Linked DNA regions of Danio rerio. The protein of the gene in region 1 interacts with the protein of each later gene in a pairwise test. Links are inferred from orthologs where the notes say so. Each region holds a gene or a part of one and is shown on either strand. Other genes may lie near its edges.

The links. The genes of interacting proteins can lie anywhere in the genome.
Region 2: the proteins of lhx9 (region 1) and khk interact in binary tests that used the Homo sapiens proteins (3 or more experiments, as listed by UniProt). The two-hybrid records come from large-scale screens. The link is inferred for Danio rerio from reciprocal best matches to the Homo sapiens genes LHX9 and KHK.

Annotation. Positions count from the first base shown.
Region 1 is NC_133197.1:23,080,419-23,084,453, forward strand, and holds the start of lhx9 (LIM/homeobox protein Lhx9), read right to left. Parts: upstream 2,821-4,035; 5' UTR 2,537-2,820; coding exon 2,363-2,536; intron 1,601-2,362; coding exon 1,398-1,600; intron 945-1,397; coding exon 589-944; intron 1-588. UniProt on the Homo sapiens protein: Involved in gonadal development.
Region 2 is NC_133192.1:13,617,025-13,620,546, reverse strand, and holds part of khk (ketohexokinase), read right to left. Parts: intron 2,748-3,522; coding exon 2,675-2,747; intron 2,541-2,674; coding exon 2,394-2,540; intron 137-2,393; coding exon 48-136; intron 1-47. UniProt on the Homo sapiens protein: Catalyzes the phosphorylation of the ketose sugar fructose to fructose-1-phosphate.

The DNA of each region.
Region 1 (4,035 bases):
TCCCCCCAAAAACGCTCCCACGTTATCTTAAAAATAAATGTGCCAGGACGAACTAAATGTTGTTTTTTAACAGTAATGCCATTAAAGATGTCTGTGGTGCCTAAATAAGCTTTTTAGCAAAAAAAAAATGTTTAAAGATAAAAAATACCTAAAAATAATTATAATTAAAAATATTTTTTATATAAAAAAGCTTTTATGATATTAAAAAGGACAGTTCGTGAAACTGATGCCAGTAGCCTACATATCTTTTATTTTTAATAATGTCGTTTTTTTTTTTTAAATGTAGGCTAATTTTGCACAAACTGAAAACTCTAAAAATACAGCCGAGAATGCATTTATATTATAATCAAACATATAAAGACACTTGACACAATTATTAGACTTTTGCATTTAAAAGTAGGCTAATATTGATATCTATTTGAACAACAGTTTAATTGAATTAATTTGTCCTGATCGTCTTTTTCGAAAGCCGAAAGATTCGAATTAAGAATCAAATTACTCCGCTAACAAAACGAACACGAACACTCAGAAATAAACCAAAATAAATGGTGAGCAACGCCACTGAGCAGCTGTAAATTGACATCTCACCTGAGCTGTAAGAGCCGATGTCAATCCCCATCGCCGGACTCTTCCTCTTTCGTGGCCTTCCTTTCTGCACCGTGCCGGTGCCATTGAAGTAAGGCAGCGCAAGCCCTCCGCCTTTGGCCGCTAATTCAGCGTAGTTTAATTGAGGGTGATACTCTCCCTGAATAAGGGTCTCAAAGTGAACCCGGCAGTAAACCAAGTTGTCTTTCATGCCGAAATGGTCACCCGTGGTCAGTGTTTTGTTGCATGTGGTGCAGGTGAAGCAGCTCAGATGGTACACGGAGTCCCTGGCGCGCATCACCATTTCCGAAGCGGATATGCCGAGGTGGCAGCGGGCACATCTCTGCACGGAGAACCTTCTGGAACAGCACACACCATTTACAATCAAACATAGATTGATGAAAACATTTAGTATGTCATTAACAAATACGTTTAACATATAAAAAGCGGGTGCACGTGAAATTTAGATATTTTTATTAATCAAAATCTTTTAAATGCACGCATTTGCTATTATTTATATATGTGTACATTTATTTGGAAAAATGGTTGTATCTTCTATAGTCTGACATAATTCGTTTTCCTTAAAAAAAACAACTGGCTAAAAATTGAATAGAAAAATAGACGCACTGAGCATGAATTAATTAGGTTTATTAGATTAATTTAGGCGTGTCAGTTAATCACTGAAGATCACTATATGGGTCAATGGCTTACACTAGCTCAGATGTCACCAGCCTTTATGTGTGTTCGAAAAAAAAAGTTAGGCCTACTAAACAGGCCTAACGCAAGATTTAAGCCTCAAAGTTAATGCTTACCTGTAGTAATCCTCTTTGCAGTAAATGCTGCCATCCTTTGCGAAACACGTCAGTTCGGATTCAAGGGCCAGTTTACATTCACAACACTTGAGACACCTTAAATGCCACTGTTTATCAACGGCGAGTAAGTAGTATCTGTCGGAGATTTTACCACCGCAGCCGGCGCACAGCGCAGGCTTCTCTGGGCTCATGGAGGGCATAGTCTTTAAAAAAAAAAAAAAAAAACATAATTGGTGGAGTAAATAAAGGTTTCGGCGTTAATCAAAATACACCACAGTAAATGAGTTTGCCATTATAGATATAGAACTTAAAGTAAATTCAAAAGCATACTAAATGAAACTGTATATTTATTATTTTTATGTTTTTAATAAAATTATGAGTGAGCTTTCTCAATTATCAAACCAAAACTAGATATGATGCATAACTACACATTGCATGTTTTGTTTGTTCTGTGCTTTGATTTCATTTTAATGAGTGCCTAGTCTAAAATATAATTTAAAAAATGTTAACGAAAAATGACTATTTCTTATCACAAAAATTATTATTAAATTTAATACAAGCCTACAGGTTATTAACTGTTAAATATTTTGTCACTTGCTTGGCAAAAACATATTGATCTTATTTTTGTCGTTTTTGGACATCTTACCCCTAAAATAAATATAAGGAATGTTGTGAAACTGCTAAAATAAAATAAAATGTCTGTAGATTTTGGCTCAAATGTGAAATTTAATTTTGGCATATAACTCTCTTCATGCTTTATAGTTACTCTTAGGCATTTCAGATGTTATTGATATCCTCCGTAATTACTTTTTGCATGTTTCCAGAGGCCTGCTAATGTTTTAAAATCGTACAAATGTTTTCGCTACGTTTTTAAAAGTGGGTTACAAACTATGAGGTGTATATAGCGACGGGAGAGTTTGACATTTGCTTTAACGTAAAATGCACGCCAAAACACAAATTCTTACCGTCTCCCGTCCGTTCATCTGGACGGTTTTTGCTAGTCGAGACTCCGATTTAGATCTCCTCTCCATCTCCTCCATGATCCCTTGAATATGATCCCCAGAGATGCCGTGGAAAAGCATGGCTGCTGGACGCAATGTGCAACTGCTTTCTTTCGCCTTGCACCCCACAACTTCCATATACAGCTTTCCGGATCCTTAAAACATCCGAGTGGATCTACACCAACAGATTCACAACAAAATGCAATCAATGTGTTACAAAAATATTAAGCCGGTGGAATTTGATGGACGGCGCAGGAACAGTCAGGAGAACCAGTCCACTTTCTCCAACGTCAGAAAAAAGTATAGTCCGGATGATATAAGGCAAAACTGAAGTCTGGAGGATGTTTTAAACGTGGGTTTTCAGATAGTCCCAATCTCCAACTGAGGATCCGAATGCGTGAAAGTCGGGTTTGGGACTGTGTGTGTTAGAGATCCTGTGTCCTATTTGTGAAGAGAGCAAACGCCTGCCCAGCTTGGGTAATTGGGTAGGAGGAGTCCTCCCTCTCTCCAATGCCACTGATTTCTATTCACCAACAAAGACCTGTCACTCTCTCTTCAAACCGATGGTGATGGGCAACACGAGCTTGGAAAGCACTTGGTATAGACCTTTTACTTCCTTTTTAACTGGTGTTTTGCCACTTTGATTTTTTTTGCAAGGCCTTCTATTTTTTCATGTAGTTTTAAGCTTTTGTAAATGCGTGTAGCTAAAATAAGTGTTTAATTGAGATTGTGAACACTAAAAACACTTGGTGTGGACGTTTAGTTCCTTTCAGAGACGTTGTGACACTTTTTGTTAGGTTTTTATTTTTTCTCATGTAGTTTTAGTGTCTGTAAATGCGTCTAATTAAAATTAATGTTAAATTATTGAGACTGTGAATACTGTACTTCATCTGACCTCTCTTGTAGTTTTGAGTCTTCTTGGAAAAATGTATTTGAAAATTGTCAGAGAGTTGCTTGTTAGTTTATCGCGAGTGTCATTCATAATTAACTCCCAATAGCAGAAAAGAATATTACGTTATATATATATATATATATATATATATATATATATATATATATATATATATATATATATATATATATATATATATAACGTAATATTCTTTTCTGCTATTGGGAGTTTATATATATATATATATATATATATATATATATATATATATATATATATTATATATATATATATATATATATATATATATATATATATATATATATATATATATATATATATATATATATATATATCTTGTACTGCATGAATTCAGGTTAATGTAAAGTATAAAAGACGCTAATCCTTTAAGTACATTGTATGATATATGTACAATTAAAATGGACTAAAGTGGTGGCATAATTTAAAAAGTTGTCAGAATGTTTCATAAAGGTGTGTGTCTGTGTATGATGGTCTTTCTCTTCATGTGTGTTTTCGGGAGAAAGAGAGAAAGGAGCAAGCGAGGGAAGGGGAGCGATGCTGTTGGGAGGAGGAATAAGCAGTTGTTTACATTCTTTGATTTTTCAGATGTCAAACGTCAATTGAATCCCATTGCCACAATTTATTTTTCTGTACGAATATATACGAGGGATGATCGTAAAACTACTTAAGAATAATAAAAAATAAATAATTGATAGCAACCTTA
Region 2 (3,522 bases), on another chromosome or scaffold:
TTGTAACACTAGTGACATCTAGTGGTCATTTTAGGAGACAGACTCACCCCTTCTTCAGTCGACCACTGAAACCCTTCAGTGCTGCAGCAGCTGAGTCGAACCCAAAGTGCTGGGCCACATCCTTACTAACAAAGACCTGAGTGAAAACAGATAACACAGGTTATGCGGTGTCCAAACATGTATGCAAGCTTAATAGCTGGCCTGTATATAATACATCACATTCGAATTTCTACAGAATTTAAAAAGAAAACAACACAGGCTTGTTTAAATTTTGAGCTCCATGCATGTTCATTTATTAAACATTGTGTCTACTATATACTTCATATTTATTAGATATTTTAATTTCATCTCCATGTAACAGTGCAGTACGGAAAGCTTAACTTCTTTAAATGTTTTCATAAACTAAGTGTGCATTAAAATGTATAAAACAAAACTATGATCCCTACTGTGAAATTTCAATTATTTTTCAAAGATTTCCCAAATGCTGTTTAACAGAGAAGATTTTTTAAACAATAGTTCATTCATTCATTAATTTTCTTTTTGGCTTAGTGCCTTTATTAATCTGAGGTTGCCAAAGCGGAATGAACCGCCAACTTATCTAGCATATGTTTTACGCAGCGTATGACCTTCTAGCTGCAACCCATCACTGGGAAACACCCATACACACTCATTCACACACATACACAACGGACAATTTAGCTTACCCAATTTACCTATAATGCATGTCTTTGGACTTGTGAGGAAAACCGGAGCACCCGGAGGAACACCATGCGAACACGAGGAGACAATGCATTGCAAACTCCACACAGAAATGCCCTCCGACTCAGCCGAGACTCGAACCAGCAACCTTTTTGCTGTGAGAAAACAGCGCTACCCACTGCACCAGCACGCCACCCAATAGCTAATTTCTAATATCTAATTTCTTGTCATTGATATGATGACAGAACACAATATTGTACTAGTAAATTTGCTAAACAATAGTATAAGGCTTCCGAGTCTTTTATGGTTACCAGATTCAGACTTTCAAGAACTTTTTAGAGCACCATTCATTTTAAATCAAGCACCTTTGTAATTCACAGCCCAGCATGTGTAGCAGAATGAAAGTCCATACTGAATTCTTCACTTACAGTTAATGTTTATGTTGACCGTTTTAAAACTTTAATAAAATTAGTTGAATTCAATCTTGGTTATAAATAAATTTGCTAAAACGTGCGTTATTTGTCAGATTATAATTTAAGATTTAAAAGTTTTTTATTATTATTCTGTTTTTGACAGCTGCACAGTACAATTATTGAAATAACACTATAAACAAATTTTATTTCAAATATAATTTAAGCAGGGTGACACGGTTGCTCAGTAGTCAGCACTGTTGCCTCACAGCAAGAACGTTGCTGGTTAAAGTCCTGGCTGGGTCAGTTGAAAAGGGTGAATTGAATAAACTAAACTGGTTGTGGTGTAAGTGTTTGAGTGTGTGTGGATGTTTCCCAGCATTGGGTTGCAGCTGGAAGGGAATCCGCTGTAAAACATATGCTGGATAAGTTGGGGTTTTATTCCACTTTGGTGACCCTTAATAAATAGCGTCTAAGCCAAAGGAAAATCAATGAATAGTTCAAGCACTTTTAAGGACCTGTTTGTTTTTAAGTACTTTCCAGGCCTTGAATCCATATGTCTGCAATTCAAGTGCTTTCAAAAAGCATGGAAACCCTGTAGTATTCAGCTAAAAGTCCAATTTAAAGGCTTAACTAAGGTTAATTAGGCACGTAGCTGGACAAAATAGGTTGGTAAACACACAATCCTTCATAACCCTAACAAAATCCTTTAGAAATCATTTAATCTGCTGATTGGATGATCTATACTTTTTTTATAATTATTTTTAGGGGGTTTTAACTTTTAATGGATAAAAAAAGTGCATAGAATTAACAGGAAATAGTTGAAAACAGAGAGAGGGGAAGGGTCAACATAGGACCGAGCTGGGAATCGAACTCGGGTCATCGTGAGCACCATGGTGCTATATGTAAGTGCACTTAACCACTAGGCTATTGGCGCAGACGGATGATCAATATTTTTTAATAATATAGATTTTTATTAAAGCTTTAAGGTGCACTCCTTTAAAATATTATTTGGCCCACATCTTGTATTAAATAATATACTGACACAACTCTCATCAACAAAATTAAGCAATTTAAAAAAATTATAATAACCTATGGATAAAAGGTAAACCATGTGGTTAAGATGCCTGTTAAAGGGTTATTAATGTGTAAACTGGCCAAAATCACAATCAACATTTGACTATTATTCAGTTAATAAATCCAAAGTTAATAAACCACAAAACAAAGAAATTAATTAAAATCAAAATAATGATCAACTTTTTATTCGCAAGAGTTTAATCATACCAAATCACCCAGAGGAAAAAGCTGGTAGAGCGGCTCCCTGGTCTTCTCGATTTCCACTGAGATGGCGATTCTGTTCTTCTCGTCTTGTTTTTTGTTATACTCTCTCACCCTCTCAATCATCTTCACTTGTTCGTCAGCATTACGGCCCTGACAAAACATTCATAAAACAATCAGCTCTAGCTCTCCACTTGTGGAATAAAATAAAGATCAGAAGTAACTAAATGACGTTTCAGTGTGTTTTAATATGTAGCAAATGAAAGATATTTGGCGGACCCGCTCACCTCCCAGTGGACCCACTTGTATTGGCTCAGATCCACCTTTGAAAAATCTTCTACAGAAACATCTGGCAAGTTTCTGATTAAACAAAGAGAATAGCTGATGAAAGTGCTTTTTAGATTTTAGACTACAACAATCAGGTGTTCACAGAGAATGGTCAGTTTATGAAATGTTCCTGATAGGTCATAATCACTCTCTATTATTTTGATATGATTCGCTGTAATCATATAATACAAAACTATTTACTGTCACAAAGTGAATCAGTGCAAGATCTGCAGTGGAAAAACCTTAGATTACTGCTCTAGAGCGGATGCCTGTCAGTTTGTATACAGAAAAGCATTCAATAACAGTCATCAGCGCAGACAAATAGTCAGCTTCAGGCTGTTATTATAAGATAACAGTGATTATAAGCCAATGTGTGCTTCTCCTCATAGACAAGGAAATGGATTTGGAAGTTTTCAGAACAGGTTGTAGTCATGAGAAACATTATTTAAGGCAGAAATGAAAATAAGAGCTGGTTTTATATGTTAATTTGCTATACAGACAAAGCAAATAAAAGTAAATGATACTGTACAGTCCACTAGTGTGCATAAACAAACCTCAACAGAGAGTTTTGTATCATTCTGCATAAGGTTTATTTTGAGATAATGAGCATCTAACTGGATCATCCCACTTATTACACGGCTGCTTGACAAATAAATAGAAACAATTACAATTATATATTGATTTGAGATTAAATAGTATTATTATGTGGTACTGCTATAAATGCAGTTGCCAGTAATTGCTCGGTTGTGCTGTTTAGTGGTCATTAAACTGCAATATTTGGACATAGTATGTGGAAAGTGAACATTCA